Drosophila melanogaster: one gene and its partners. The protein of the gene in region 4 purifies or fractionates together with the protein of the main gene of each other region. This does not show direct contact. Each region holds a gene or a part of one and is shown on either strand. Other genes may lie near its edges.

The links.
Region 1: the proteins of Mlc2 (region 4) and Obp56d purify together in Drosophila melanogaster (affinity purification with mass spectrometry, with the first as the bait; one large-scale study listed by BioGRID). This does not show direct contact.
Region 2: the proteins of Mlc2 (region 4) and Ogdh purify together in Drosophila melanogaster (affinity purification with mass spectrometry, with the first as the bait; one large-scale study listed by BioGRID). This does not show direct contact.
Region 3: the proteins of Mlc2 (region 4) and Acp1 purify together in Drosophila melanogaster (affinity purification with mass spectrometry, with the first as the bait; one large-scale study listed by BioGRID). This does not show direct contact.

Annotation. Positions count from the first base shown.
Region 1 is NT_033778.4:19,700,227-19,707,620, forward strand, and holds Obp56d (Odorant-binding protein 56d), read right to left. Parts: upstream 3,690-7,394; 5' UTR 3,525-3,689; coding exon 3,477-3,524; intron 3,407-3,476; coding exon 3,059-3,406; 3' UTR 2,698-3,058; downstream 1-2,697. Other genes in the region: Obp56c (Odorant-binding protein 56c), read right to left, coding at 1-585, 744-842.
Region 2 is NT_037436.4:16,951,646-16,960,272, reverse strand, and holds the start of Ogdh (oxoglutarate dehydrogenase), read right to left. Parts: upstream 5,452-8,627; 5' UTR 5,394-5,451; coding exon of another isoform or gene 5,331-5,393; 5' UTR 5,230-5,330; intron 4,948-5,229; exon of another isoform or gene 4,946-4,947; 5' UTR 4,731-4,945; exon of another isoform or gene 4,682-4,730; intron 4,510-4,681; exon of another isoform or gene 4,460-4,509; intron 3,249-4,459; exon of another isoform or gene 2,584-3,248; intron 1,175-2,583; 5' UTR 1,153-1,174; coding exon 1,057-1,152; intron 989-1,056; coding exon 851-988; intron 569-850; coding exon 389-568; intron 1-388.
Region 3 is NT_033779.5:7,738,649-7,746,014, forward strand, and holds Acp1 (adult cuticle protein 1), read right to left. Parts: upstream 2,890-7,366; 5' UTR 2,834-2,889; coding exon 2,828-2,833; intron 2,710-2,827; coding exon 2,308-2,709; 3' UTR 1,914-2,307; downstream 1-1,913. Other genes in the region: CG7214 (uncharacterized protein), read right to left, coding at 5,560-5,982, 6,100-6,105. UniProt on the Drosophila melanogaster protein: Component of the cuticle of the adult fruit fly. Could be involved in thickening of the hard adult cuticle.
Region 4 is NT_033777.3:30,168,228-30,177,645, forward strand, and holds Mlc2 (myosin light chain 2), read right to left. Parts: upstream 6,325-9,418; 5' UTR 6,260-6,324; coding exon 6,257-6,259; intron 5,588-6,256; coding exon 5,345-5,587; intron 5,186-5,344; coding exon 4,763-5,185; 3' UTR 3,211-4,762; downstream 1-3,210. Other genes in the region: Rsod (uncharacterized protein), read right to left, coding at 1-153, 211-867, 927-1,479, 1,543-2,455, 2,771-2,840; CG1983 (uncharacterized protein), read right to left, coding at 8,290-8,358, 8,416-8,657, 8,717-8,864, 8,950-9,162, 9,227-9,319.

The DNA of each region.
Region 1 (7,394 bases), on a different chromosome or scaffold from region 4:
AAAGTCGCTGCCCTCCGGACCGAATCCCTCGTTCTCCGCCTCGGTCCGCTCAAGTATCTCACGGATACGCTGCTCCGCCTCCAGAGTTTTCAGGTGATTGTAGCACAGGTGCAGCTTGTAGGCTGCCTCGCATCGTGTTTTGCCCTGAAGATCACTACACTCCTTGATCTCCGCCTTCTCATGCTGTATGATCGTTTGCACCTGATTCTTAAAGGCCTCCTCCAGCAGGACATTGTACCTATCCAAATCCAGGGTCTCATACAGACAGCTCACAAAGCACTGCAGCGGCTCATTATGCTTCAGATCGAGATATGGCATCTGCGAGTTGCCATTGAAGTCCAGATCACCCAGGTTATTTACATCGCCAATGGATTGAACTGGCGTAGGGGCTATATCGTTGTCATTATTGTAGTCGCTGTTCATCAGGCTCATGTGAAAGAGTTTCAGTTGCGACATTGAGATCTCGGTCCTACGCATACAAGCCCTCAGCATCTCCTGGCTGAGTTTGTTTTCTGTTCCATTTGGCGGATCTGGAACCAGGGTTCGTGTCATCGACATGTTCAGCGAGACGGAAAGCGATCGGGTCTGTGGATGAAATGTATTTTTGTAAAAATTATATATTGTCTCTATGTATTCCAATATGTCTTTTTAGTTGTAAGAAAATTTGATTCACTTCCCTTTTTTAATATTTACCTTGTAAATATAAAACATATAATTCCAAGTACTACATAAGTCGAATTTACAAAAGATATATAAAATATGAAAAACATTACCCATGCTTTAGAAACGAATTCACTAAGAGTGAGGCAAAGCAATGCCATCAAACTGGCTCGAAAATACATCTAAGAAATATTTTTAAAATTTGTTTGACGATTTACTATAAAAACTTTTCAACTATAGAGCCTGTTGCGATTTAACAAAAGCCTTTTATAGAGTCGTCTTTATGGAAATCGGTTTAAATTGCTATTTAATTGTCGCTCAAATCGATTGCCAAATCATGTTCATGCCTCACTTGCTAGGCCCATCAGGTAATCATATTCAGATACATCGCATATAATGTGTCATGCATCAGTGGATTGCCAATAGCATTTTTGGGTGAGAACTCAAATTAGCATTCGCCAAAAACACTCATCTGACTTATTTAATGGTCTCTATAATTGCACAAATACAAAAAGGTTTGCAAAAAGTTTCAGGTTCAATTTGGTAGATGAATCTACAAAACATTTAAGTACTGCTCTATAAAGGTGTTTTAAAAACGGTACAACCATTGTTGGCAATTTCAATTAAAATAATCATTGTAATTTTTGACTAATTTGTTTTTGCAAGCAATGTGGGTTTTTCTTGTTGTAGTTGTGGAAACATAAAAAAATACAACCAGAAGTTTTAATTAGATTATGGAAGTGGTTACAAGCTGTATGCGGAAAAATGATAGTACATAGAACACGTTTTCCTTCTAAGATAAAATTATTATATTCCTTACTAGTCTAGTTGTATTGCAAACAAATTCAATCACATTAGTTCAAGCCACAGCAACTGGTTTACTTGAACTCCTTCTTTCTTTGGACCACTCTAATTGACGGACTTAATAACAGACTTCTGCTGATAATCGGAAACACAACCGCAGCATCCCCAGCCACATCACATATTGGTCTTTAAGATCAAAGAAACTTCACATGGACGGACAAAAAGCGAGAGACATCGGAGCATGAAACAAGCAAGTGGCAGCCACCCTGCAGCGAAGTTTTTATAAAATTAAATTACATTAATGTGAGAACCGCAGGGAAAGCCTCCCCCTTCAAAGCATCAGCACTCAACCCCAACTCCAGCGATATCCTTGGTCCTTGGCCATTGAAAGCCAACTAACGGGAGCAAGACAAGTCAAACAAGACGGCCAAGACAAAGGCTGATGTCGAGCATCAATGTGCTACCATCTCACGCGTGTTGGCTCCTTTGACAAGCCGCCATGGCTGTCTACTTAAATGCATTAGCTCGGGGGGGTGGAATCCTTCGATTGGGCTGCCTTTTTAATAGACATTAGTAAACGCATCAGTGATTGTTTGTTCGGTTGGCCGGGAAGGCCATCGGCCATCGGCCATCAGCTCTTGTGCAGACAACTGCAACTGAAACGGATGCTAAATGGAAGTGACATTACAGCCAGACCGACCCCAGGAAGTGACAAAATGAATTATGGACCCTGGCTGCGATCCAAACTCCCCAAAAGCCAAAGTCAAAGCCAAAGTCGGAACAATTGTTCCCTCCGATGCCACCTGATCCATGTTGAACCAGTAAATGCAATTGCGACACGTGCTCAATGAATGTTTAATGATTTGTTAATTGGATTTGGGCTTTTAAAAACACGGCTCCCCGTGTCCAATTCATTTGCTCGAACCCCAACGCATCCTGTATCGCCGGGATCCCAGGTCTTTGTGCCAATAAGTTTGCCGTCGCTCATCAATATTTATGCCAAACATGAGCGGCCAAATGCCTCTGGGATCGCCGCTCTGTACCAGGGACTTAAGCCCCTGACGACGGTCTGACAGTGGTTGGTCCTTAATGACGGCCCACTGTTATGCAAATGGGTACGCGGCCAAAACGCAAATGGGTCATACAGTGGAGCATCCATTGACAAGTCGAATATGCATAAGTAATTATGTATAAGAATTTCACCTTAATTTCCTTTGAGACACAATAAAAGGCGTTCTCTGTTAGGGGTTTACGTAAGTTATTTTCCTGGAAGGTTCCTTTAAGTTTTTGTTGGACAGCTAAAAAGTTATTTGATCAAACGTTTAACATTAATATTTAAAATATTAACAAATGCCAAGTGAGATTCTAGGAGAGTTATGTAAAAGCTTTAAGCATGATCTTCTATTTGGAACATAGTCTCGCAAAGGTTTCTTGTCAAGTTTTTTTTTAAAAACGAAATATATTCTTGAGTTTATTATTCAAAACATTTACAGATCTAAAAATTTTGTTTACGAATTGATATACTGAATTAAAACAATATAAGTAACAAGTCACAGACAGATTATCACACAGGAGAATATCGGAGATTTGGCGCTTAGATGTGGGCGCGATTCTTGTAGTAGCACTCGAATAGCTGATAGGCAGTATCGCACTTATCCGCTCCCTTGGTGGCATCACACTTGGCCTGAACGGCCTTCACGGCATCCTCGCCGGCCAGGGGTCCCAACTTGGCCAGAACGACATCGGGCTGGACCTCACCATTGATCAGGAATCCGATTTTCTCCAAGAAACAATTGGCGAAGCATTTCACCTTGGGGTCACTGTCATCGAAATTGCCGTTTCGCAAGGCGATCGCCTGATCCTTGGTGATTCCCTCCTGCTGGGCACAAAGGGCGCCATTGGCATGGGCCACAGCCTTCTGCTCATCGGATAGTTGCAGCTCCTATAAGATATATTCAAAAGATACACTTAGCAATACTACCCCTTTAAATCAGAAACTATTTGTAACTCACAGCAGCCGAAATGGCCAAAATGACGGAGAGGACAATCAGGAACTTCATTTTCGGTAGAGATGTTGTTGGAAACCCTTTGGTATCGAAACTGTTGAATTTATTCTGTTAGCATCTGCCTTTTATACGATTTTGCATGCAGCTTCGTCAGAGTTTTGTTTTGATTATCGCTTTTTGTTTTCGCTCTACTCCGCTGATCACACTGTATAAGCAATTATTACACATACACACGGCAATACACCGGTTAGTTTACTTAAACCCTCTCCGATCTTGTTGATAACCCGAAACTGACTCACTTTTTTTTACCATTTCGGTTTAAAGTTCAACAGATACTCGAATCAGTAAATGAAGCAAGTTCACTGCGGCTTTCCATTGTACCTATAATTGGCCCTAATGCCCCAGACTCGGGCTTATTATTAGGCTAAAATCGCTTCAAAGCCATAATGTAAGTGCTAATTGTAGTTTCAGATTTTCCACCGATTAAAAGTGTGTTGTACTTCCCAAGGGTCAGAGTGCCCAGCGAAGCGTCAACGTCAACTAATTTGATTTAACAATACACGTAACTCCAAAACCTTAAACTTGAAATACAATCTAACGTTGATTTTTATGGAGGTGTTAAAACAAAGTGCATGCAAAGCATGATAGGGGAGTTTTAGAGAATAGAATATAAAAGCAACATTTTATATTACTTACAAAAATTTTTAGTAACACTTAAAATTTAATATAAGTTAACGGAGGCCATGAGATGCTCGAATTATTTGTAAGCCTTATATAAGGTCTGCGCTTAAATATATTTCTTCATTCCCTATATATAACCCTTATAACCAAAATATATCTATTAATACCACCATTATAAAATTTGTCTCATATTAATAAGGCTACCTCATTACCGCAACAAATTATTTCTTGGTGATTCTAATGCCATTATTAATAATTAAATAATTTTGTTAATAGACCCTTTTTTTGAAATAAGTCTGATATTACATGATAAAATTAATGACGAACGTCTGATTCGTCAAACCTGTTTTAACTTTGTCAGTTGTTCTCCTACCTATTTTTATTGTTTTGTTGGTTTTTTCCAAAGTCTGAAGTCAAGTGCGGTTATCAAAGTCCAAATATTCAGATGACTCTCAAAATCTCAAGTCCGTGCGATCAAACTAAACTGGTTTGCAGATTAATTTGTGGCACAGATGTGTCTAGCTGATTAACAATTAAAGTGACATTCGGGTAATTTGCTGATGTATGTATATATATGTATATATTTATGCATGAGTTTTAAGCGGAACCGTTTAAGTCGGCTAACTGCCCGAATTATTTAATTATGGTAATAGAGGCAGCTACCAAAGTTGATGCCTACGTGCCAGAACTTTGCCTCATATATTTTATCAATATTTACTGCTGACAGCATCGATAATTCATGACCTACTCAAACTATATACCGGTGCCTGGGTCACCCCCTGGACTTTCGGAGACGAAGTTACCGGAGCGAACTGGTAAATAGTTACGCACGCCAGGGAAAACAAATGTCAGAACGATTATTGCGGCCCATCGTCGCCTGCCAGGGCCATAACAAAAGTAAAATATTTAAATAGTAATAAATTCATAATGTCATCGTGTATAATGCCCCACAGCTCCTATCGGAGACCTTCCAACGATTTATAGACAATAATAACTGCAAACACGAAGCGGTGGCTGACTCCTCAAGTAGTTTGATTTCAGTTCAAGGAGGTGGAGGTAGCCTATTCAACTTTTCCAGCTTTTCCACCTGGTGAAGAAGTTCGCTGTCCCCAAAAGTTTCCTGTAGTGGAAAGGAATAAAACTGTTTTATCGTAGACATGATAGAACGGGAATGAATGTCGCATGCGACTCATATATAATATAAATATTAAATACTATATGGCATGCCATAAAAATATAAACAGCACATAAAACGACAATGAAAAACAATGGCACACGTTATTAAATATGTGTGCCCGAAGAACTGGTAACGGCTAATGAAATGTCATCGGACCCGAGGGCTCAACTCAACTCAACTCAGCTCAGCTCAGTTGAACTGAAATGCAAATGTCACGCGAAAAACTATTTGACGACAACATTACGTTGACATAATAATAATGCCGTCAACCGTTGAAGAACCCCAACTTAAAGGCAAAAGCTCGGCTAGAAGTCATATGCAAATTTTACGAGCTTCTCATGACCGGTCATAAAAGTCAATTTATTAGCTATGGGAAATTAAAAAGGAGAACAATTAAATAAGTGCAAAGCGTGAATTTGATTACGGTCAGCGCTTACTAAAGTTGCAATTTTCATAAATCATTTGGACTAGAACCAGAAGTTTTATTTAGACCAACAGATTAGAAAAGGAAAGCAAGGTTTATAATAAAATATATTCAGCTCTCACTAAAAGTTAATAATACCAATTCAGTTAATAACTGGAAATCGGTAATTGTGGCAGTTGTTTCTCTACATATCTGATGAAAATCAATAATTTAAAGATAATAAATGCAAGCGGTATCCTATAATGGCAGCTGTGTAATTAATTATAACCAATGGCGAGATAGGACCTCCAGCTCCCAATTCCGCAAGCCTAGCAAAAAGCTACAGAAATTCAATTAGGCTTATCCCATGCAATAACAACACCGGAAGCAACAACAAGAGAGCTACGGAACAGCTGCAACACCTGCGCAATTAATTAGTGTTTGCCGCATTAATTTCAGAAAATAAAAAGAGATGGCCGAAAGGAAACCAGAGCCACCACCAGATGGGATAAGATAGGCACCCTTTAGGGTCAAAACCCAGCGTTGGCTAATAAATACAGAAAGGCCCCATCCAGCGTCCTTGGCTCTTCCACAACTGGAGCAGAACATTCTCAATGGACCACAAAGGCAGTGGAACACTAAGCCACTTAAATCAAATAAAGCAAATTCAGTTAATTTAAATTATAATGAGGCCCAGTGCCAGCGCGGAACATTGAATACTATTTGCTGATGAAAAGATGAAACGTAAGCTAAAAACTTGTGTAAATATAGTGGCCTATTTGCTAAAGATAGGTAGGTTTTGAACTATTTACGTTGGGATTAAATTTTATAATGTCTCATTTTTTAATTGCTGTAGACTTAGTGCTACAAATAATATGTATAAAAAGTATGCTACAATCCAATGGGCAATCTTTTTTCCCCAAGGCACGCATTAAAACTGGGAAAGATATCATAATTTCCACTTCTATAATTTGTTTACGATTATGGCCGCATGCAAAATAAAACGCATTTAAGTAATTAAGTCATAAAAAAAAGTAGCGTGCTGGGTTTGCTCCATAAAAACCGACCCGTCTGCAATAAAATGCCAAAAACAAAACAATTAGGCAATTAAATGTCTTGGTATTACCAAAAATTTTCGTTTTGGTAACAAAACGCGTCATAAAATAAGCCAAAATGTACTTGGCCACCGGGAATACGAGTGGAGGCCCTAAAAATGGATCACAAGTGGGGGAAATTATGTGAAAATGTCTGCACTGGCCGTTTTTTGTTCTTTTCTTGGAATCCGCTCTTGTCTCCCTTTGACATCCCAATAAAAACGCAAAAGAAAAAGGCGATTGCCAATGCGTATGCGAGTGTTTTAGTAATATTTATTGAATTCCAGTTAACGAACCCAGAACCGATGGAGCGTTGGATAAGGGACAATGTGCGAAACACAAAAGGAGGGGAAAAGTATAGGGACGGGCCAACAGTCAAGCAAAGCTTACAAAGCTTTTCAACGCACATTTTCCGAAACCGTCGCCGCATCCCGAAACTGCTGAAAAATTCCGAGCTCTGCAAAATGAATTCTTTTGTGACAAGTTCAATTCGGTTGAGGGACAAGTCAGTGGCTGGGATGCGGAGTTCATATGGAACTCCGACCGAACTGTAGCTGCTGCTGCTCGAG
Region 2 (8,627 bases), on a different chromosome or scaffold from region 4:
TATTAGCTAATGAGGAATGGTGCAATCAAAAGTGACAAATCCCCTTAATATATAACTATTTGGTGAACCGAAATGGATGTGATCGAACAGAAAACCAAACTACTCATGAAGGAGTGAATGTCTAACTCTATGGATACTGTGGATGGCGTGGGTGAGTCAACGAAGTATTTTCTAATCTACCATGAATACTGGATTCGAAATGATTTGGTCTGGGTAAATGGACAATTGTGAACACACATAAGGGGGGGCAAAGGCAACTCTACTGATCATAATCTAAACATAAACATTAACTGAACCTAGGAGAACAAAACAAAAAGAGCCAACTCTGGCTGCAATCTCCACCGATCGGCTGGAAACCAAGTAATTGAGCCAGCACGAGTCGACATACCTGGTAGCTCCTGATGATGGCCTGGACGGCCAGATGGTCGTCAATGGTCTTGGAGTCGGGCGCAGCGCCGGCGACGGCTCCTCCAAAGTTGAAGGCGGTCAGCGGCAGAGTGTTGGCCTGCACGGGCGCCAAGTTGGGCGGGCTAACGTAGCTGTTGCTGCGGAAGTACGCGTCCCAGGACTAAAAGAAGAATGAATCAATAAGGATTTATTGTCATGTCATTTATTGTGAATGCATTATTCCAGGATCACCGTTTTATTAGGCTTTTATTATATTTTTTATTGCAGAGAAGTTTGGTTCCCTTTAGTATAAGCTCTTAACATTTTTAAGTGGTTTTTAAAAGGTAATAAAGCACTTCCGCTTCAGAAATAAACACTAGAAACTGGTTTATCGATGACTCAAAATCAAGAGTTGAATTTAAAAAGGCGCAGAAATAAAACCCTGTTTAATAGGGATACTTACGGTGTGCACGGAAGTGGGATCCCGAAGCCAGGCGTTGTACATCTCCTCCACGTAGGAGGCGGTGCTGCCGTTGGCAAAAGGTTCGGCAGCTGCGGAGTTGTAGGTGCGCACAGCGGCCGCTGCAGTTACCTTGGCCATCTGCCAAAGATTGGGGGCTCATTAGTTGGGGTTTTCTTTGGAGTTATGGTTATATCGACCAAACTCACCTGCTGACTGCTGCTGCTCTTGAGCAGCCATGTGGCGAAGTTCTTGTGCGCCATCGGCGACAAGGCCAGGCTGAAGGCTGTGTGGGCTCTATGCATTTTGTAGCTTTACAAAATAGAACTGAAAGAAAGAGACAATCTTAGTGAAGATCTTATCAGCCCACTATTATATCACTTCCAACTGATTAATCGATGGCGGCTTTGTTGACAAACAAGCCACGTAAAAGATAGTGCCAGTGCCACCCCCTAAACACCGAACTCCTGACCCTCGGCTGCTGTAAACGCGATAAGATAGCCTAGAAGTTTTTACGTCATGGTCATGTTCTGGGTTTTAACTGTGTCACCGATCAACCGAATGTTCCGAACTCGTTGCCAGGCCAGTGGGCCAGTTATGAAATTCCCTCACGCTCACGAAACAAGTTCACAATTGAATGGATGCGGGGGGAATTTACATACGTCCAAAGCCAGACTAGACCGTTGAGATCGGGGGATCGCTTGGTGGAAAAAAGCACACGTGATGCCATACGCCAGTCCGTCGCTCGCTTTTTTGATAATCAGCCAAGAAATGGCGGAGATACTTTGGCCCCCAAATATAATGGTGAAATGGGGGGGTTTTATATAGGGAGAGCCAGCTGCTTTTTGCGCAGTTTGTTCGTTTCCCAACTTTTAATCAGTTGTGAATATTTGCCCTCACTTTTTGTTTGCCGTCTCCGAATCACAGTGAGCATTCACCTGGGTATTTGGCCCAAAACGAGTTTGCCCAGATAACGCAAAGGCGTCAAGAGCGAATGTCCCTGGCTTGGAGTTATAAATTCCTGTGGTCCATGACTAAACGCAGAACCCTCTAGACGCAATTCAGTGATAAGAGGAGGGCGCTTAACCGGCCTCCAGTCATGCCACGCCAGCACTTCCAGAATTTGTCAAGTTATTAATCAAATTATTGGCGATAGGCTAGCGCGTGCGGATGTCGTAATTGAATCCCTATCTAAAGCCAGTCGTGCAAAAAATACGTACAAATTGAATGAAATTCGGAATGAGAACTTATGGGGCAACGAATGCGTGGCCAGGTCACATGTCTTATCGACGAACGCATGCTGGCCAGACGATCCAAATGAAGTGATTACAAAATACTGGCCCCCAGATATGAGAGCACAAAAAATGAAAGAAAACAATTGGAACGGCTAACCGGTTTGGAGTGGTCAAAGCTAAGTATTTGAAAGTGCATCACTCGGGTTATTTGATTCGGTCATAGCTACAATTACAGTTACATTGTCCACCCCACAATAGATAATTCAATTTAGCAGCCCGACATTTTCTTTCAGTGTCATTTATCTGTTTGCTTGTTTTGTGCTGGCGCTTTTCACATACTGCTTTCCCTGCAATTATATTCTGCTCGACGTCGATGTTACGAAAACACATTACATAAGTGCAAAAAATAAAAAAACGAAGAGCTGCTCGCGTGAGAGCAGCTGAGTTATTAGAACGGCCAGATGATGGAGCTAATTAGTGTGAAATAGTCCGACGGATGAGCTTGCAGTTCCACAATTCGAAGCATGACTGGAAAAATCCATTAGGCTTTCGGTCGGTGGAAGGTCTAGTTCCGACTGTATATGCACTGCACCGCGGTGGAATGAATCAAGACACCGTATAATATATACGCATATACTGCATGCGATTGCTCCAAAAACCAACCGAATATATGTACTCGTCGTACTCGTATCCGTATCTCGCAGATACGCGTCAAACGTTTGTTCGTGCTGAGTGCTGCGCGTCGACTGAAGCGAAAATACAAAAGCGGCCGCCTTCGAGAGTGAAATATAAAATTTAGAAATCGAATTTGCTCTTCACGAACCGCCGAGCGGGCTGCAAGCTTGGAAGAAAAATACAGAGTGTGTGTGTGATAAAAACACACAAAGCGGCCACATGACAACTCGGCGTTGTATCTTTATCTTCTGGCAAAAGGGGGTTGGGTCGGTCGCCGATCGGTGGACCTGATAACAGTCAGGTACATACTCATGTATCTACATATTGACCGCACTTCCTCCGTTTATCTAACCGCCTCGCCTCCTGGTTGTTGCCCATGTCTTGCGTATTTATAGCCCGAATTTGTTTACAACAATCCCAAAGTCCGTTCGTCAGCCGGCATTTCAAAGAATGCCGCCCACACAGCCAAAAACGAGAGGAGAGAAAAAGCGGTATGATATACACAAAAAAATAAAATGTATAATACATTCATAGAACTTGTTTATCACATAATACCAAAGACAACGAGAAACAATATTAAAATACAAAATGTTTGTATATCTAAAAGATTTCTCAACTCAAATTAAATTTGGTACACTATCCAGAATCACATCTTAACAATTTCTTAACATATTTTTCACAGTGCATTTAATAGGTCAAGCGCAAGTGAATTTGTGCGTGTATCAATTACCTTTCCGCTAATCAATAAAGTTTCAAGTTCACACACCAGACACAACCATTTACCTTGATGCGAGTGCGAAATTAATGAACACTCAAGAGGCACCGATCATTAGATACTCTTAGTTATTTTAGAATTGTTGTATTTTATAGTATTTAATAGTTTAACTTTCTATCGAAAAAAATGTATAATGTAGAAAGTTATATAAAAAACTATTATTTGGTTTTTGTGGCAAAATGTAAATTTTAATGTTGCTCTAAAAAATAGCGGAAATGGTAATTTGACTATCGAATGATAACTATGTAGATATCAGTGTACCAATTAGTCTAAGACTGAATAAAAGCTATTATCGTAGTTGGCGTAAAACATTAAATTGCCATGATACCCTATAAAAGGGTATAAGAAGGCAAGAGAGACGCACTCAGTGGGGTTTTGCATTCCATTAAAAAAAAACCCTGGACGAGCCCCCTCTAGGCGAAGAAGAAGAAGAGCGGTCCAAGGGCATGAAGTAATTGCGGAGCGGGGTGCGAGGGGGAGGTAGAGGTTCCGTAGTACTATAATACTTTTGTGGTTACTATTCCCGATCTGGGGCCTTTGCAGCCGACTTATGATAGGTTGTGGCAGATGATCCACATCCGTCAGCAGAAAAAAATAACTAGTTGTGCTGCCCCAGACAATGCGGCCGCGCGCTTTCTTTGCGGTTTGCTGTTGCTATTGCCATTGCTTTTGATTGATGATTCATTGGGCGGCGGGGAGAAAAGCACACGCGGCACTCGGTCAATTGCGTCATCAATGCGGCAAGTTAATTTTACAAAAAACCACATGTGACGTCGCCGACGTCGCTTGTTTTGCATTGCGAAATTTCACTTTTCATTTGGGGCGGCCGGCGCAAGCGCTTTTCCGCCGACGAGACGCCCACCTGCACTTTTCCAATTATATAAGAACAGTCCTTGAAATTAAATGGGGAAAAACGTTGGAAAATACCAATCAAATGCCTGCTAAATGCACTTTTTAGAAAGGGGAACACGCGGCAGTGTCTCATTGATCGCTGAAACGATGATGGTAATTCCTGGAATTCCACATGATGCAAAAGCGGACCTCGAATGTGGGACAAGTGAAAAGCACGCGAAATGCGAGTTTTCCGCTGAATCCAGTACTAAGTCTAAATGGACCATAGCCCCGCAGACTTTTTGCAAATTAACGCACATGATTTGATTATTTTTACACTAAACTTGCTTAAAGTTTAAATATTTACGTTTTTACAGCCGAAAACTTTTGCGTTAGTGGTGGGACTGTTAATGCTAGCGCACGGCCTGGACTCTCAAACATATCGAAACGCTATCGTTTTGTGCCAGATATCGATTATTTTTACAGTTTTGGTGAGCGGTAACACTAGCATACAGAGCTTATTCCTATGCGACTGCAGATGGCGCCACTGTGGAAGATCATGAAAGGCGCGATGTAAAAAGTCTGTAAGTAATATGTAAAGAATTCAAAATTTTTCCGTAATCTACTTAAACCATTTGATACCTTTAATTTAATAATATAGGTTCAAGATATTATTATTATTATTATTATTTTATTATTATTATTTTTTTGTAACCACGATTGGGTTGACTTCTGCTTGACACTTTTCCATTTTGAATATCCGTGAAATCATATCAAGTTATTTAAGAAACATTGAAACGAAATTTTCAAAAGAAAAGCGAGAAACATATGTTTAGTAATTTCCAACAATGTTTGAAGCCACCTACATTGTTTTTCTCAGGAATAGTCGCAATAGTCGCGGCCTGACACAAAAACTGGAATTCAACTTGCACTAAACCATTTAATTGCTACGCACACTAGACAGAGACTAATATCTGCTGTATTGATCCAGACAGTAGCCGGTAATTTGGTCCGATATACAGTCAAAGACATTGTAAAATCCCAAATAAGAAGACTTTACTCGTTGAGTTTTTGTAAGAAAACTGATTTTATTTGGAAATATCTTCGGTTTAAATAGGTGACATGAGAATCGCATCTTAAAGTAAATGGCCTACGCAGAGGCCTACGTAAATAGTCCCCGCCTTATCGAGGTCCCACGCTCGGGCACATCTGCCTATCTTGAGCGGCGAGGACCTTATCTGTGGTCTCCCACTAAGGGACTATTTTAGGAGGCGGGGAACGATCTCAAGTGACTGACTCATGTAGTGTGCACTTAAATTACATGTTTTTGAGCAATGCACCCATGTCGCCTTAGATAACAAAATCCTAAATATAATTTATCGCTCTCGATTCATTTACATAAGATATGAACGGAGCCCAAAATTGTAAGTCTTTAAATATATTCGTGTTCATGTGTGAACATTCTGCCAAAGGGCCAGCAAAGCTGAGATGTACATTAGTATATTAGTTGCATTTATAACAGTAGTGGACTGTATTTATTTGATATATGTTCATTTATTTTGCAACTAAGATTTCAATGGGCCTAGTTTTTCTGGCTTTTAATTTTATTGGATTACAATTATGGTTTATATTATTTTTAATTCAACAATTTGTACTTAATTAACTTATTTTAAACATTTTGCTTTTTCTATGTAGAAGTACATTTTCTATTAGTGGACTGTATATTTTTATTTGTTATATTATTTTATTGTTTATTTACTATTGATATTTATAGTACTGGCAACGGACCTGCAAAGGTTATTGCTTGCATTCTTTGTTGCACAGCACATTTCCGTATGAAATATATTATTAATACTATCATTAGTATTAAAGCAATAATTAATCCAGCATGTCCGGAAATATGATGGAAATGTAAATCTTTCAATTTTTGATGGTTCTCTTTCATAAATTTAATTTCATTATTCAATCGTTCAAATTCCTCAGTATGATTTAATATTGATAGTTTCAGCGGATCCCAAATAATCTTCGGCACTCCACTAACTTCTCCTATATAAGGTGTTGATAATAATTCTTCACTTTCGGACTGAATGTTATGGTGGGCAACTAGAATTTTATCGTCGGTTCTTGCCGTACAATATGGCGCAATGCTTAAAACTCCTTGCTGAGGCAAATCAAACAATTCAATTTGAGAGCCAGTACATTGCAGACGGACTTTTGAATTCGCAGGAACCTTAAACAACCAACTACTTTTCTTTTCTAACTCTACCCAGTAACTTTTAGAGTCGACTACTGTTTTATAGATGCAGTTCGCCGCTTTATCTGGCTTTAGAGGCTGAATCTCACATGCATTATCATTCGCTGAATTCCAGGGCCAACTTCCTTTGCATATTCTCTTATTTAGTTGCCATTTCTGACATTGATTTAATGTGGCTTCCGTCATTATGTGATAGGAATCTATCTCAAAATTATAAATTAAATATTCGGACGTTGTATGCACCATTATTATCCGATCTTCATTTCGAATTGGCACCGGAATAAGCCTGAACAATTTGGATGGATGCCTGCTAAACAGAGGCACTTTTGCACTAATGATCAATTTATCGTCGATGAATAAACCCCTGGCTGTTAACAGTGTATACACCTCCTTAAGTTCCGTACCTGACCGTTTTCCTGGAATTACTAGGTTCTCTGAAAGACTCTGCTGAATTTTGGCAATTTCTTTTTTAAGCTGATTTGGCCTGAGAATATTTGTATTTAGCCTACCGTGATTAATATCAATCAACAGGCTTATAATGCCTGCTTGAATTTTTTCGCCTTCTTCAATCAATGAGTGTAGCTGTTTCGTAATCATAAAGAATTTTATTGATTCCTTATAAACATAATAATTTTCTTTAAGAACTTCTGTCATGTTCTCAATTCTTATTTGCATACTTCTAAAATTGGAGTTAACATCTTCTGTTGTTCTCTTTAATAGATTAGAAGTTGAATCAACCACAGATGTTTGTTTTTGAATTAGTTTATCAAGGTTGTTCTGGTTATCTAACAAATTCTTCATATTTTCTTCTAATTGCTCTCTATCATCTTCATCCATTATACCAAATAAAATATGATACAAGGAACCCATAAATTCGAAAGGAGCACGCTTGCTTCTAGATCTAGACTGCATCATAAACAATTTATTGTTTTCTTCAAGTTCCGATAACTGACTTTGCATATTATCTAAGACTAGACTACATTGCTCTTCAAAGCTATGAAGTCTTTCGCAAACTTTCCTCATACTTTGTATAAGCGCATTACCCTTTGTTAACATTTTAAAATATGGATCCATTTTATAATAGATAACCAAATTCCAAGAAGTACTCACAATCTCAACATCTCCTAGCGGGTCTAGATATATTGCTGAGGTTTTATTTATTTTGTCTATAGAATATCTTGGTGCTATATCTTTAGGTAATGCGCTAGAAACTTGACAACTTAACACAAACAACAACATTGCCATAATGATTCCGATCTTGGACATTCCCGATGTCGCTCTAGTTCGTCTTTTTGGCTCTTGGTCAGCCTCATTTTTGTCAACAGACTTTATTCCTTCCAAGGGACAAATTTTAGTAATGGGTCTAGTGATATATCCTTCCTGCATCTTTACTTTAGCCACTCGGACCTTATCATCATTCCCCTTATGCACCTTTTCCACCTTTCCTAAAGGCCATCTTGCAGGATGACAATTCTCATCCTTTAATAAAACTATTTGCCCTTCTTCTATATTAGGAATTTCCTTTTTCCATTTATTCCTTTGCTGGAGCGTATGCAAATATTCACTTTTCCACTTAACCCAGAAATCTTTCTTTATTTTTTGGATAAGTCTCCACCTATCCAAATTTCCGATTTTTTCATCTTCCATTGGTTCGACTATTTCTAAAGGTGGTCTTCCAATTAAAAAATGACCTGGTGTTAAAACTTCTTGTTGGTCCTTCTCACTAACTATAGTGTATAATGGCCTTGAATTTAAGCATGCTTCTATTTGACATAAAAGAGTTGACATTTCTTCGTAAGTCAAAATAGTGTCGCCGATTATACGCTTTAAATGGTATTTCATTGACTTAACTCCAGCTTCCCAAATACCTCCGAAATGAGGTCCTGCCGGGGGAATAAAATGCCAATCAATCCTGTCCTTTTCAAGCTGCGCTGCAATCGTTATATTTTCTTGTATTGCATTAAATAACTCTTGATCTAATTTTCTTGCAGCTCCTACAAAATTTGTTCC
Region 3 (7,366 bases), on a different chromosome or scaffold from region 4:
TCTATTACTTTCAGGCGACACGTTTTCCAATCACGCACAAAACCCCTGCAAAACTGGCACTGCGCGAGTGTTAATCCGAACCCGAATCTCGATCTGAACCCGAATCGGAAACTGCTGCGACTGCGACGCACGTTGCCAGCACGTCTGCCAGCGAACGACTGAAAACTGAAGAGTAGAAACACAGCCAGATAGTCGCCGAATGTCAGGCGAATGCGAATGTTGCTGCTGTTGCTGCTAGTGTTGCTGTTACTGTGTTACTGCAGATGTTGCTGCTGTCTCTTATCGCAGACGCTGCTGTGTGCTACTTTTACTCTTCGGGAGAAATGCGAAGAGTGACAGAAAGAAAGAGCAACAGCTGTGGTTCAATTTTCTAAATGCTCTGTGTTGGAAAGAAGTTATATTAAGTCTGAAAAAACATATAAGCTATCAGTGATACACAGATTTTATAGACTATGTGTTTAAGTAATAATAAGGCCAATAATATTACCAGAACATATTAAAATGTTCTTATATTTTAAAACTAAACATATTCTACCAAAATTAATTTTGATTACTTAAAAGAAAATTTAGCTTGCTAAGTCTCAGTATGTCAAATCGACTTCGAATTAAGATTTTTTACCAACAAATTGCTTTCGATTATAACATTAAATTAAGTGGTAATTATTTAACCCATGTCGGATCAATTTTCTAAATTGCATATAGGAACGTTCATAAGAGTACGTCAAATTCGTATTGACCCCCTGCGACTTCTGTGTGATTTTCTCTTTGCCGGTCAATTACCGGCTATTGCCAAAACGAAGCCCAGTAGGAAATTTCTTGCCATTTTCGAGTCGGACTCCAAGTAAGGGGAGACTGTCGACACGATTGACGCTTGACTCTTGGCCGCCGGCGTACAATAAATCATTGCAGTCAGTTCAATACAGCAGATTTAATCGCTAGACATTGCAGAGAAAAAAAACGTTTAATCATTTTAGGAAAATATTACAAATAAAATATTTTACCGAAATTACAGAACTTTAGAGGTAGAGCATAAAAGTTTGATCTACATATACACTTATATAATATTTAATAATAATAATAAATTTTTTATCAATTTTATTCACAGTTCTTTTCAGTGTATTTAAAAGGAGGTGTGGTGAGAAAAAGTTGAAGGAAGTTCGGGGACTGTTATTGATACACTGACGCATTTCATTCAACGGCCAAATGCGGCAACAAAAGCGAAACTAGAAACATGAAAAACAAGCGCGAGACTTTGTAAACCGCTGTTGGAACTCAAAGTGGGAAAAATAAAAAAAAGGGGCTGGCTAAGTGGGAGGGGAAAATCACGCAACAGTTGGACTCTGCTATAGCAAATCGAAAGATATAGGGGGTAAGGAAGTGCGGGGTTGATTCCATTTGATTTGTGGCTGGATTTCGCATTGAACGCAGTTGGGGACTTTGCGCATGCGCATGAACTTGACATTTCAGCATTCGATCCGATGGCTTTGCTCTAATCACACTTTATTATGGAGGAAGGGGTTGCATGCAAACAGCGTAGTGTCAATTTGAGGCAATGAGTCAATTAATTGTATTCGGAGGCGTAAATATGCGATGATAATATATTGAGAGCGAACGGGCTTTGTATACTAATAGATTGAGCCTGTGGGAATTTGTCAGGCAACATCTATTTATTTTAATTTTGGCTTGACCAAAACAAACTTTGTATACTTACATTATCATTAAATAAAGCTTTATCAAACGAAGAATATATATTATGTAATGTTCTGTAAAGCGGAAAAATTATAATGAGGAACCATCAAAGATTTGTTAGCAATAATGTTAATTTGTCGCAATTTTATTTATATGTGGGTATTTAATATTCCCAACTTCGCAATATTATTTACACATTTCCCAAAATAAAACGTTTATACTTTAGTTACATTTTCTTTATTGGCATTATGTAGATGTACAAGCATTTCCTTCCAGAATGCACTTGGCATTCCGTTCGAAGAAAACTTGTGATGGTTTTTTCACAGGATGCTTGGAAAATGTATGCTAAATAAATAGGTAAGCGAGAGAAATAGGCAACCACAAACGTGGCCGGGTGCTTAGGTCGGAAGAGAATTTTGATGACTCCTTTTTTTCGGGACAGGTATGAAAGGATCCTGTTCAGGTGCTAGGTGCGAGTACCCTGTCTATATATGGCTATATATACAATGTATTTACATAACGTGTTGAGGGGTCTAAAGTTCGACTTCCCCATCAATGGCAGTATCCGTGGCAGAGGCAATGGTCCGATCGACAAAGGGATTGAAGGCGGTATACTCCTTACAAGGTTCCGGGTGCGGGAGCGGCATTGATGGAGGCCACCGACTGGATGTGTCCGGCCAGAGGAGCGGTGTGAATGGCACCACGGGTCTGGGCAGTGTAGACGCCACTGTGAGCCACTGGGGCCACGACGACTGAGGGAGCATGAGCAGCAACCACAGCGGGAGCAGGGGCAGCAAGCACGGCAGGAGCGGCGGCGTGGATCGCTGCCGGAGGCCACGAAGCCACGTTCACGGCAGCAGGCCAGTGGGCGGCGGGAACGGCCCAGGGAGAGGCCACCACAGCGGGTCCGGAAACGGCGGTGTAGGACAGTCCATGTCCAGCCACCTGGGACAGCAGGGGGATCACAGACGACTGCACGCCCATGGCGAGGGCCAAGGTGAAGATAACGGCGACGGCGAACTGTATAATGCAAAATATATTGTTTAGTCTTATGAGTAAAACTTCCTTGTTGAATTACTAATATTAATCCAAGCTATGTTGTTGTTAATTATCAGGATAAATCCGTTTGATAACTCACTTTCATGGTGCTGTTTGTGGGTTTTGGGTTGCGCTCTGGTTGAACTCTTGTTCTGAACTGATCTGTCAACGGAGCTGCCGGCCAGTTTTATACCCAACTGCTGACCACATCAGCAATAGAAAACCGCCAAGTCGGAGGGTTCATGAAAGTGAGAGTTCACACACCATGACATGGTGGACACGGCTGACACTGCTCCGCATGCATATGATCAGCTGTAATGACATGCCTCGGATCTGAACGGATCGTATCGTATCGAATCGGATCAAACGGCTAGGTTGAACGCCTTCAAAGCGGTTGAATTCAAGAACTAGTTCTACATCTACAATACTTTGTTATTAGCTTATTGTACTAATCGAAATACGTACATTTATTTTCTAAAGAATAAAAAAATAAATGAAGAAGAGAGGATTGTGACAAGAAGTTAGGTTACCTAATTTGTATCTTTAAGGTGGGGTTTTTAACAATAACCCTCTCAAAAATGAACTAACTCGGTAGTGAACCTCTATTTCCGCACCACTCAAACATGCACCACCACAGAAAATGCATTCTCAGTGAGTGTGTTTCCATCTCCGTGGCCATGTGGGTCCAACTGTCTAAGTGAATGGCCCAACCCACTTTTCAGCTGCAGTTCCGGTAAGTTGATTTTCACTCCATCACACCGCCACTTTAATTACTTAATTGTTGTTTGTGCGCGATTAGCATTTCAGTATGATTTATAACACGATTCCAATTATGGAGCGATCCGTATCCTGTATAAGGCCGGCTAATATCTGATTTATGTGTCTTAAGGGTTAATGATATGCGAGGAACAGCCCACTTTATCGATCGATATTGAAATATAATTATGGGAAAATTAAGAGCTGAAATATATTATTCCATTTGAACAGAACTGATCTATAAATCTGTTTCTAATATTTTAAAGAGTTAATATTAAAATTTTAAGCCGAATAACAAAAAGTAGATTATAATCAATTGGACTAGTGTAACTATTTAGAATTCGAATCCAAGAGACAAAAGTTTGCAATTCGTTTCATGACATCTACAAATTCGTGTGTGCATAAGCCGCTTGTTGGCTATAAATTAACCAAAACTTGCAATTAACACAGCTGAAAGGCATTCCAGGTTAATCCGCTTTTCCAGGCTATTTCCCTAATTATTTCCACCTCCGATTACCTAATGGAATCGACATTGCGCAACATTCAATTGTCTGAAATGGGTCTGGAGCGTGGGTTACTGCAGCCCGGAACAGCCCACATAAATATATCGCAAACCCATTAGGTGCCGCAATTAAGTCAGACTTTAGTGCAAATTGAACCCAGCAAAGACAATTCAATTATGCCCAAAAAAAACTGCATGAGGGGAAAAACTTGTTTCGATGCTAATGTGGGTGAGATCGATTGTCGAGTCTTGGCAAAATCTCTGAGACACCAAAAACACCAAAAAAGTTCAAGTTGAATTCTTTCGGTGCGATGATAATCTGTAATTAGCGACTACTATAATTTACTCCATGTGCCAATTATTTTCCTATACCAGAAGCCCAGGTGCTGACTAAAATTGAAACTTGGTCTTTGTGCGATTTGTAATTAGCGCTAAGCGTTTGCATAATTAAGCATACGCCCTGTGGCCCAATACGTGCATATGATCTGGCTTTGTACCAATTAACTCGATCTAATGACCATTGGCCCCCAGCTTGACTACCGTTCAGCTGTGGCCGATAGTACTGCCAAGCAAATTAGGATTGTCACTATAATAATAGACACTTAAAGACAAAGACACATTTGATCTAGACATTCTTGGCAGATATGAAATCAATAGAACAATTTGTCGGCTTTTCAAGGTCGAGCAGGTGCAAACTAAAGACCCAAGGTTATAATTAACTAATATGCAGTTTATGATCTAGATGTATTTAATGAGAGCTAAACAATCATTCCAATATGGGATTGTTTGAGGTTGTCCAAGTAAAAGATTAAAACATTAAACATCTTGGCATATCGTACAAAAGTATTAAGCTATCTAGCAATCATAGCTTAATTATATATTGAATTGTATTTAAAAACAAGTCCAAACCTCAGATGATGCCTCAGATGAAATTAAACCTAAAATATACATTAACAGGTACTTTTATCTTTTGTTAAAGAAGAATCTCCTTAGTTGGATAGTAGTAACTTTTTTTTTAACCCCATTTTTGCAAAAACACAATATTTATGTCGTATAAAAAACGCTGATTGCTTTTATTTATAACGTTTTCGTCAATCTTTACATTGTTGCAGATTACTAGATTACAATGGGATATTTACAGGTTGACAGGGCATATCTAGGGCGATATGCCAGATAGTGATAGATATAAGAAGTATATAGTGATAGATGTAAAGAAGAGGAAGACAGGATAGCAGATGGGAAGTATTGAAAGAGTTCTCAAAAAAGAAAATTAACATGCTGTCGTTTGTTGGTTTGTTGTAGTTGTTGTAATTGCTGTTGGACTTATATATTGCTGAGTGCGTTGGAAAATGTCCAGAGGATATGGACATGGACCCAAGATCAGGATCGTGTTCGTATCGAGGGGGTTGGGACTAAGAGCGGTGTGCTTAACAATAAGTGTACAGAGAGAGATGGGTATTCATCCGGTTGGAGTAGTCGTGGGAAGTCGCTGAAGCAGGTGGAGATCAGTGATACTGCCATCCATCCGCTCCGTTTGGCATCGGTTTGGGTATGGTTTATCCGTCACTCCCGACTTACAGAGTTCCGGGGGCAGGGGCCACGTTCACGGAGGTGGCAGAGTTGATGTGTCCGGCGAGGGGAGCGGTGTGGATGGCACCACGGGTCTTGGCCACATAGACGCCCTCATGGCCATGGCCGGCGGCGAGACCGGGTCCCTGGGCCAGGTTGATTCCGGGAACAGCAGCGCCGTGCCATCCGGCACCGGTCAGACCCCAGGGAGCAGCGCTGGCATGGACGGCAACGGCGGCAGGGGCACCCCAGGGAGCACCGTTCCAGGCGCCGTTCCAGGCACCGTTCCAGGCACCATTCCAGGCTCCGTTCCACAGACCGGCTCCATGGGCCACGGGGCTCACATAGGACACACCGGGAGCGATCTGGGCCCACGAGGCATGAGCTCCAGCCAGGGCGCACACGAACATGACTACGGCAACGGCGAACTGGAAAACGGATTAATTACCGAAATTAGTTAGATCACCAGGATAATTTCGTAGAAACTCTTGAAAATTTTCAAAAAGTTTTTGAAAATCTTAGAACACTCCTGCCAATGTCCTCACCTTCATGTTGTTTGTTTGGGGTGGGTGTTGAAGTTGGGTTGTTGAAGGAGAAGTGCTTGTTGAATACTCAGCGAACGAGTTGATTCTGATTTCGACTACCAAATTGTGGCAACTTATATACGAAAAACGCGGCGCGGACTTTGCTTCGCTTTTCCAAATCCAAAACCGAAACCTGCCCCCCAAGTCAAGAAAATATATATCAAAATGCGCCAGAGAGGCGAATGGCGCGAGAGACTCTGCTCTAGAGACGTCGACGCCCAAGCCCAAGTCTCGGGCAGAATTGGAGTACCCATACCCACTGTGGTAGATCCGCTCCGGGTTTTGGCCTTTCACTGCCCAGCTGCTCGAAGATCTCTGCCTTGGGTGCTGCTTCCCGTTCCCCCTTTCCCGCCAACCATTAAGCTGACCACCACCCCCTAAGCCACACCCCTCTCACCAAGGAAAAGGGGGCGGCGGGCGTCAATGATTGCGCAAATTACCACAGTCTAGCTTCTACAATTGGAAAACACAACATAAGTCATAAATAGTATGTCCTTAACGAAAGATCTACATTTAAAAGTTCAGCCTTAGAAATTACCAATTAACTTATTTACATTTCAAATGTTAATCCCATTTGCTAAATATTTTTCGAGCTTAAGCCAAATGCATTTAAAGAAGCTTGACTGTATTAACAAGAATTTACAGCCGAGGGTGCAACACAAACACACATAAACATAAGCGTAGATATTGAGCCGACACAATCGGCTGGCTCCATCGGCGGCTTGAAAATTGCCACAAAACACCAAATTATATTGATAAAGCACAAACACATTTAAAAAGTCATAAGCATGTGGCCCAAAGCATTCAATTTGCAATGGCACAGACCAAAGTTTCTGCTGCATTAGCTTTCAGAATTCTTTGTTGCAATTATATAAATCGCTGGTATTGGTGTGTGTGTGTGTGTGTGTTTGGCTTGCAGCATGGGGCACGGAATTTGTGTACAGTAAACTAAAGTAAAATAAAGTCGCGTGCCTACACTGCAATAACAATTACTTTGCCCCAAGGCGGACTCAGAAGTTAGCCCCTGCAATGACTAAATCAATGCAATAATATTAATTGAGCTTTAAATGCCAAAAAGTTAGTCAGCCGTTAAAATCATTCTAGAATGGATTGTTAGCTTATTTACCCGAACAATCAGTGCTTAAACCCTTAAAAAGAGCAATTAAATATTGGTAACCTATTTCAAAATCGATTTATGGCCAGAAAATAGTTCGCTGATCATAAAAAA
Region 4 (9,418 bases):
TCCGAACTTTCCACTTAGATCTCCCATCTCGTACTGATCTGTGGTTCCCCTTTTCGGAGGAGGTGATGACTTTGGACTGACGTCGAAAGGATTCCAGTGACCATATAGAGTGGATGCCTCGCAGGGAAACGCCAAGTTGGCTTCCACGGGTGTCTAAAATTGAGAGCTTAGATTCACAATGTGTACATTAACAGGTTTGGTAATAAATACCCTATGGATGTAATATCCTGTATTATCCTGAAGCCCCTTAAGTTGCACCTCCACATTGCTGACATCATACTCCGATTGCTGGGTGATTTCCACCCGACCGCTGACTGTCAACGAATCTCCATTTGCGTACCACTCCTTGGCCACCACTTTCCTCCGGAAATGTCCAATCACGGCCGAACAAGCCAATCGCTCTCCTCTGGCTTTGGGTCCACTATCCTCATAGATAACAAGAGACTTACCCAGGATACTATGTCTTCCGGAGAGCGGAAGATTGCCGTCTACAAACATCTTCCTACTTATTTTCTGGGCAACTCTTCTGCCTCCAGCGATGGTTAGGGTTCCCGATCTGGCATCCATAGCACCCACTCTGCACATGGAGGCTAAACTGGGTCGGCAGAAGTCATCCACACTGCGATTGCCCCAATCCACTCGGAATGGATTATATACAGGTCCTGCGGAAATGCATCTCTGTTGCCAGTCATAGAAGTCCTTTCCAGGTGCATTGCTGTGGATTGCCCAACGATGATCGTGGGTAGTATTCTGCGTGGATCCATCCGCCTGGATGAGGTACTCAAATAAAACGGTAGTATCCTGCCAAGGCTGCTCCGCCGTCTGCCGGAATATGACTCGACCCACCACAGGATAGCGGAAAAGGACCTAAGATATAAGCACAAATATTAAAATACTTAGCATGAAATACTATTTTATCTACCAACCTGAGCAGTAACCATGTTCTGCTGGTAGATTCCATTTCGTTGATATTGACTTAGGCTCGAACAGCCCCAAATCATCTTCGTAATATTTGTGACATTAGATCGATTGAAAGTGTATATGACCAGACTTCTTTGGGCAATGCTATAACGTCCTTGAAGGGGCAGAAATACGTCCCAGTAGAGGCCATTCAACTCGGAGCTCGTTCCTGGTAAGACATACTGATGCCAATAACCTTTATTGCGACCCTGTAGCTTCCCGGAGAGATCGCCCACGGGATACTGCTCCTGGGTTCCATAACCGGGTGGGGGTATATTCTCGTTTATCTCCCGGGGATTATGCATGTCCCCAGTGGTCAGGCAGTAGTCCTCGTGACCCATCCTCGAAGGCACCGGCGGCAGACTGTGAATCCGAAAGGCGGCCACATCTTCGGCGAACTTGCGACTGACATGCTGGGAAAGCGGTGCTCCCAAGGTGAAATTGAGGAAAGTTGGGTCGAACTTGGAGCGCTGCATGAAGGTAACCTCTCCCTTGACACCACCAGAGTTGATGAAAGTTCTGCGGTTAACAAAAAAAAAATGGTTATACTTTCAAATAGAATGGGTTGTAAAAACCACTCACTTATGTGTCAAAGGTTGGACATGGCGAATCTTGGTGCACGCGAGGTACGAATCTGGATGTTGGTTGTCAAAAAGAACCAGGTAAAGAGTTCTATGGGGAATGGTAAGATCCGAGGGCAGCAGGGCCAACTGAGCATCCCTAAAAACGCTGCGTTGTGGCGAACGAAGGGCATTCTTGGCCACTCCAATCCTGCCTAGGCGTGCGTCCAGATCACCTATTCCCTTGCCAGCTCCACTTCCTTGGGGATCGAAAACTTGCTGCAGGAAGTTGCAGTTGTCCTCCGTGCGATGGTGGTCATGTTTGAAAATGTCCGTCACATAGATCTTCCAGTGGTGCTGGGTGAACGGTCCAGCTTGACTTCTATCTTCCTCCAGAGCAGCTGGTTGCGCCCTAATATGGTAAAGATCCGAGTAGATTAGAGTATCTCCAACAGCTCCCTCCGCCGGGGCCAGCCAGCGGAAATGGACAGATCCAGCGACAGGAGTATTAAAACGAGCCTCTGCCATGTGCTCCACGGAACTCTGGATGGTGGTGATGGTGGCACAGATCCGTGCATTAGCGTTGACCTCTGTCAGAACCAGGGACTTCCCCCAGATTCCCCGATCCCCAATCAACTGCATGTTTCGCTCCCAGCTGGAGGTCTCATTTCCGGGCAGTACCAGGTACTCCAAGTCCTCGTCAAAGGACAGGACCTGGGAGCCCAAACGACTCAGTTCGCAGCGTTCGTCTGGGTCAATATTGGAGTAGTCCACGGGGAAGCGACGTACTCCCCAACTCCATACTTGGTCGGGGTACTGCAAAGTGGCCTCCAGGTTGGCCTTGATCTCCACCGTGGTGGCATTCATTTGCCGAAAAGTGATCTCTCCATGAAGACCTCTTTGCGAGATATAAGCGATCAGATGCTGTGCATCAGCTGAGAGGCACAAAAACGATAGTGAGAGTGGAGTGTTCATTAGTAAGGTGAGATATCTCATAGGCGCAGAGAGAGAAATATGAATGAATAATATAATTATATGCATAAAATATAGTGTTGGAAATAAAAGGTTAGTTTACTTTCGAAGCAAAGTATACAGCATAGGATAAGGGCTTAGTTCGCCCCAAATGTATATCACTTTTCTTGCAGTGCACTCGAGAGTGTGGTGAGATATTCCAGACTCAAACTGAGATACTTTCGATTTCTTTGGCCACGCAATATCTGCATACAATGCAATCGATTCCCAGCACTCACCTCCACTCATTAGTGATGCAATCCAGCAGATGGAAGCCATCCACAAAAGCTGTCGTCCACCTGGAGCCATGGTTCTGGTTCTACTTACGCCCTGAGTAACCAGATTATTCGAAAAGCGCTGTTCGGAATGGATGTGGCAATGACAAGCGTGGCTGACTTTCACATCGTAGTGCGCATGCGTGCGCCTCGAAACTCGACTGACAACTGGTCGCTCGAAGGTTCGTGTTCGGTTTTGGCCATCGTCTTGGCCAAGTGTGGGGAGTTTCCCACTGCGCTCCACAGCTTCGTTCAGCTCCCCAGCTTTATCGGTGGTTTTGTTTTGACCTGGAACTGGTTTCCGGCACGGCTCAGCTGAGTCAGATATGCAGTAAGGTACTACATACCCCCAAAAAACCCCTTCCCTGAGCAAATCAAACTTCAATGGCTTTGTGTTTTTTTTTCAAGACGACTCTCTTTTGCTTTATTCCAAGACTTCGTCATCGTATCATCATCTAGTTATGTTGTATAAAAACAGTTACTTGTTTTCTATTTTTAGATGTTTTTTGTTTTACTCTTGTTAATATTCCTGACCGGGTTAAAAGTTTTCTGAATTTTTTCATCTTGCCGTGTGTAGCTTAAAATATACTGAAGTAAAGATTCGATTTGCATTTAACAACTTGTTGCATGTTGCACTTTGAAATGGATTGCAGTGTGCGTGTGAGTGTGGTGTGTGCTCGTGTCGAGTGTCAAGTGTTGAGTTCTGAGTAATAGTAGTATTAGATAAATAAGGCAATATATTGTGCTTCCTCCGATCAGCCTAGGTACTAGTGGTTATGGGCACCTTATTCAAACTAAAACCCCCCCGACCGTCTATTTCCCGGGGAGGCGTATCATCCTGGAAGCTTCAAAACGCATTAACTAGAAACACTGGGTTTGTTATTTGAATGTTTCTTCATATTTCAGATATCATTTTGGGTTGTTTGTTCGTTTGGGTGGTTTATATCGCTGATAGTTCATAAGCAGAAAGTTGTGGTGGTGGCGATGGTTAAGTTATATAAATTCGCATTAAACAATTTGAGTGAATGAACTTAATGTTTCTCTGTTATTAGCCTAACTCTCGATAACTTGCAATAATATTGATAACTCATAACTGATAAATAAGTAAGTAACGAACGATAGATATGTATAACGATAAATATTTTGTGATAGTAGGATATATATTTGGCTCTCAGTTAAATGATCCCTAACAATAGTTTGTTATGGGTTTACCTCTCTCTCTCCTGGTCCTGCGAGATTTCTTGAACGAAAAACATTGTAACTCACAAAACTGGCTAAAATTCATATTCATAATCAAATTGAACTCGCGGGTGCAGGGCTAACGAATACAGCCCGGCTACCCATCAACATCGTCTTCGTCCTCCCTACATCATAAATCATACATCATACATCCTCATTTCGATTCCGATCTCGATCTCGATCTGGTAATCATCTCTCTCTGGGGGTTCTTCTCTTTAGTTCTTCAACGGACAGCGATATAAAAATAGACACGGCTTGTTTGTTGTTTTTAAGTTTTTTTTGTTGATTTTATAGGTGTTTTAAATAAAATAGATAGCATATGTTTTATAAATTTTACGTGTAAAATTTAACAGTAAATCAACTAGAAAACTACGCGTCAGTTCTTGCCGTGACAGTGAACGTGATCGTAAGTATCCCTAACTATGATGGACAGATACATGGTAAATGGTTCTGATCGCTACCAAATGTTGCTGAAGAAGTTCTTTTGAGGTTCAGTTTGATCGGATGTTGCTGATCTGGTTGGTGGTGTTGTTCTTGGTACAAGGTACTTGGTGATGGTTAACAAAAGAGATTACAAGATACTGAGAATCTACATATGTAAACGAGCGTTTCTTTTAATTACGTTTATTATTACTGATTTGACTGATTGATTTAACGTTCTGATTCTGGCTGTAAAATGGATGTTGAGTTAGAAGTTAGGATGTGATCGGATGTGCCTTAGGCGGCCTCCTCCTCCTCCTCTTCACCCTTGCCGGTGAGCATCTCGATCAGGGCGGCGGTATCGATCTGGTTCTTGTCGTCGATCACCATCTGATCGTAGGCATCATCAACCTCCTTCATGGTGAACTTGTCACCGAAGTTCATGAGCATTTCGCGGAATTTGTCACCGTCGATGAGACCATCGTTATCGAATGTTTTGAAGGCAGCAATAACAACTTCGTCTTCATCGTTGGCACCGGAGGTGGCCATGCGGTTGGCGAACAGGGTCAGCAACTGGGTGAAGTTGATCGGACCCGAGGCCTCGCCCAGCATGGCGTCCAACTCCTTGTCGTTGGCGATCTTGCCGACGGAGTCGAAGGCAGCGCGCAGATCGTTCTTGCCAATAATACCGTCCTTGTCGGCATCCATGAGTTGGAAGGCCTATCGATCCCGCACAGAGACAGAGAGAGATAGAAAGAAAGAGTGTGTTGGTGACTTGGTCCTTGACAAGTGCGATAGATGGTAGGATGACAGGATGATGGGATGGGTCTCGAGTGATCCGACATATGATGCGATATATGAGTAACGCCCAAAACTCACCTCCTTGAACTCGGCGATCTGCTTCTGGGAGAACACAGAGAAGACCGAGGAGCCAGCGCGCTTCGACTTCCTGGAGCCACGGGATCCGCCCGACGCTCTCTTCGAACCAGTGGCAGATGCGGCCGGGGCAGGAGTGGCAGCTGGTGCCGGGGTTGCTGCCTCGGATGCGGCCTCAGAAGCGGTTTCGGAAGTACCACCCTCTTCCTTGGTCTTCTTCTTCTTAACCTTCTTCTTCTCATCGGCCTGAGGAGAGAAAAGAGGGATTTATTAGTAGGGACTCGTGGCAGAAAGGGGGTATCTACTCGGTCATTAGTCGTTATAGTCCGTCTTTAGCTGTCACTTGAAAGTTCCGATTCCGGAAGTTATACTATTCGTTTTAGGGATCTTAGTAAGTTATCCGCGTTGAAGGATCTTCAATTGGAATTATATGGGTAGAAAGTTATCCCTTAATAGGGATTTAAGGGATGTAAGGTATGCTTTTCAAAAGGCCTACCCGACTAGGCCAGAAAATATGTATCTGCAGGCGAAAGTTTTCCACTCATTCTAAAAATATACCGGACGCATATTACGTAAGCTCTCCGCCGTGCGCCACTCGCTGTCTCGCTCGCTCCCCGGCACGGATATCAGATTACATTACTGACGCGTAACACTCGGATCGGATCGATCCATTTATAGAACTTTCTGCACTATTCTCACTGCGTATGTGAAGAAGGTGAATCGGGATCACCATGATTTAGAGTTATGGTTCACTTCATATTCATATCCTCGGGGTCATTCTCGAATGCAAACGATTCACTGCACTGATCGGCATTATCCTTGCTGCATATATCCAGGCACTGGGGTCCAGTTCGATTCGGTTCGGTTCAGTTCGGTTCAGTTGGATTGTAGTGATATTCCGGGACGAGTCCTTACCATGGTGCTGAACTTTGATGTGTTGTCTAATCGAGTCGAGCCGTCAGAGCACACTGAATCTCTGGCTGATTTTATCGCCAAGACAATGATGTTTTAAGAGCTCGGAGGAGCTCTTCTTCTTCCAAGCATTGGGGCCGCTCGTGGAGGTTCGGCCACCTTCGGGGATCTTCGGGCGCCATTCGCTGTATCCGTATCTGCAATATTCGTGCTGCCTTTTTTAGTATCTGCAAGGCGAGGTCCGCCCAGGAGATCGGCGGGGGCGGGCAGCTACAACTATATAGATATAGCCATGGCTATAGCCTATAGCCTATGGTGTAGCTGTATCCGAGGTGTTTACTCATCCATCGGGCGCTGCTCTAATCAAAAATCTAATTTTAAAGGCAGAGAAATTGCTTTGGCTTTGGCTTTTGGGCAGCAGAAGCCTATACATATGTTCGGAATTTATTTCGGGGCGATTCGGATTGGTTCATATAGCGGCTCTCTGTTGTGGATACATTTCCCCATCCTCGGATTCTGTTTTGTTTTCTTTTATTTTGCTCTGCTTCACTACTCGGTGCGTCTCTCTGCCAGAGGCCACCTCCGAAAGGTGTCCTCTTGCGCTGAAATCACCTACATTTTCCTTGGCGGCGGACAGCATACATATATGCCAACATATAGCATATGTATGTATTCTATTCACGCCTATATACTCGATGTTTTGCTCGCCTACGTTCCTTTTTCTGTTTTCGAAATGCCCCGCACATTGTGCAATATGAAGAGCGCCGAGAATTCCAAATCTATAGATCTGTATATACATACACGGCGATCGGGCGGATTTCGTGTCGCATAAATATCCAACGAACCCGATATTGGACCAGAGTTATTTCGGCAACAAATGTGGAATAAACATCTGACTTTATCTATATGCTAGTCATCCATGGACATTGCATAACAATGGGAAGGCTGTAGGATTTCCATTTCAGATAAACTTTGGGTACCACGTCATGATACATTAACCTTGTTACTAAAAATATTAAACACTGCAGTATTCAAGCTATTTAAGCCATTTCAGTAAATAAATAGTAAAATTGTGACAACTTCAATCGACAAATTGGATTCTCAAAGCCTTATTTACACATTTTTAGTTTTCCAAATAAGCAGGAAATTTCAATTTAGTTTCAAGTGTTACAAAATATTATTATTCATATAGTTTACATCTATTTTTTTTAGAAATATTCATTCTGCAAATTATTCGACTTTTTGCTTTCTGAAGGAAATAAGCCAAAACATTTTTCAAAACAATATTTACATGAGGTCATCTTTGCCACCTGAATTCATTACCCTCGCTGGCTAATATTATAATTAATGAAGGCTCTATGCAAATTTATGAAACGGAAAATATCTCAATTAACGATGGGATCCGTGCGAGAAAGCCTTCATAATTCATCGATCAGACATAATGAAAATCGATTTAGGCTGCAGTCATCTTCGTGCTCCATTGAAAGTGATTTTCGGCGAAAACTCTCATGGCGCAGCCATTTTGGCACGTAACCAGGCGACATTTTGGCCTGGGGCCAACCAAAACAAGAAGATATAGAGGAAAACTGCCCACAATCTAATACGCAAAGTAGCATTGAATATACGCGAATGTAAAAATAGAACAAAGTGCAAAAAACGAGCAAGACGCAGTCGAAGGAATGTTAAAACTAATGAAAACTGCGGCAAATGTATTCAATTTTCCAAGGTGCAGAATGTTTCTGGGAATATTAATGGTTTTGACACTTTGGAAGCATTGTTTATAAAGGGTTAACAATTAAATAAGGCAAATAACAGCCTACACATAACATTTGTTTATCTCAAGGGTTTCTAAATTTAAACGCCAAATCATCTTTGATTTGCTGATTTACTACGTTAGTCTGTGTGAATATACCCAGTTCCACCTGATACATGAGCGAACTTGGAGGTGCTCAGTCGTGAGGTCGGACGTCATTGGGAATCGGCTGTATTCAGTGCCCGCAACGCATTCCTATCACATCTCTGCTCCGCTCCCCTTCTTACACCTTGGCCGCCCGATGGCCGAAAATAGAAGAGCCAACGCGCACCACTGTGCTGCCCATTTCGATCTGAGGGAATAGTTTCGATTTTAGAGACGGAACTTGCTCAGTCGGTTTGTAGCTTACCGCCTTGTCGAAGTCGTTGGACATTCCCATGGAGACGAGCACCGAGTCCGGGGCCAAGGAGTGCGCCTCACATATGGATCTGTGCACCTGCATTAGGGACACGAAATCCGGATTGGGTCCATTGCTGTAGTCAAAACCAAATGCACCAATGGTCATTATGCCCATCAGGTTGAGGTGTTTAAGGTTGCTCTTGATGTACTGGTAGAGTGCAGGAGCATCTTTCGCCTCTATTCCGCTTTTAACTAGAGGTCGATTTAGGAAAGTAAGTATAAGGTCGCTAGTTTGGGGGCGTGAGACTCACCGTCTTCACCACTAGTGTTGATCTGGATGAGCACCTGCAATGGCTCCTCAGGGGTGGGCTGTCGCTTAGACCAGGCTGCGTCCAGTTTGGTGGCCAACTTCTCGCTATCTACGGTCTGGATCATATGCAGATTTGGCACAGAAAGGATCTAAATAAACAATGAGATCAATAAGATAAAGAGAGGTGCTGATAAGAGATAAACGCTGTTATCCGATCTTGGTTATCCAATTGACCTTGTTGATCTTGTTGCTTTGCATGTGGCCTATGAAGTGCCACCTGATGTCGGGGCACTTGGCCAGAATGTCCGGGTGGCGGCTCTTCTCCTCCAGCTCCTGTACATAGTTCTCACCGAAGTCTCTTTGTCCGCCCTCGTAAGCCTCGATTACGGCCTCCGCTGGCTTTGTTTTGCTTACAGCAACGAGCAGCGGCCTGGCAGCTTGAACTTCCTGTGCGAGAGATAAAGTTTTTCATTTAAGAGGTCATTAATAAGTGGGTCTTAAGTTAACTTACTTTGGGCCGCTGGAGGAGCACCTCGTCTATGCGCTTCAACACGTGCTGCAGGCCGGCTTTGACGTCGAATTCCGCCATTGTGCGTCTTAGCATTTAACTAAAAAATGCGAGATGAATAATATTCTTTATATATAAGTACAGATAAATAGTAGTTATTGTTCTTACAATTGGTTAACTCAATGATAAGAAACA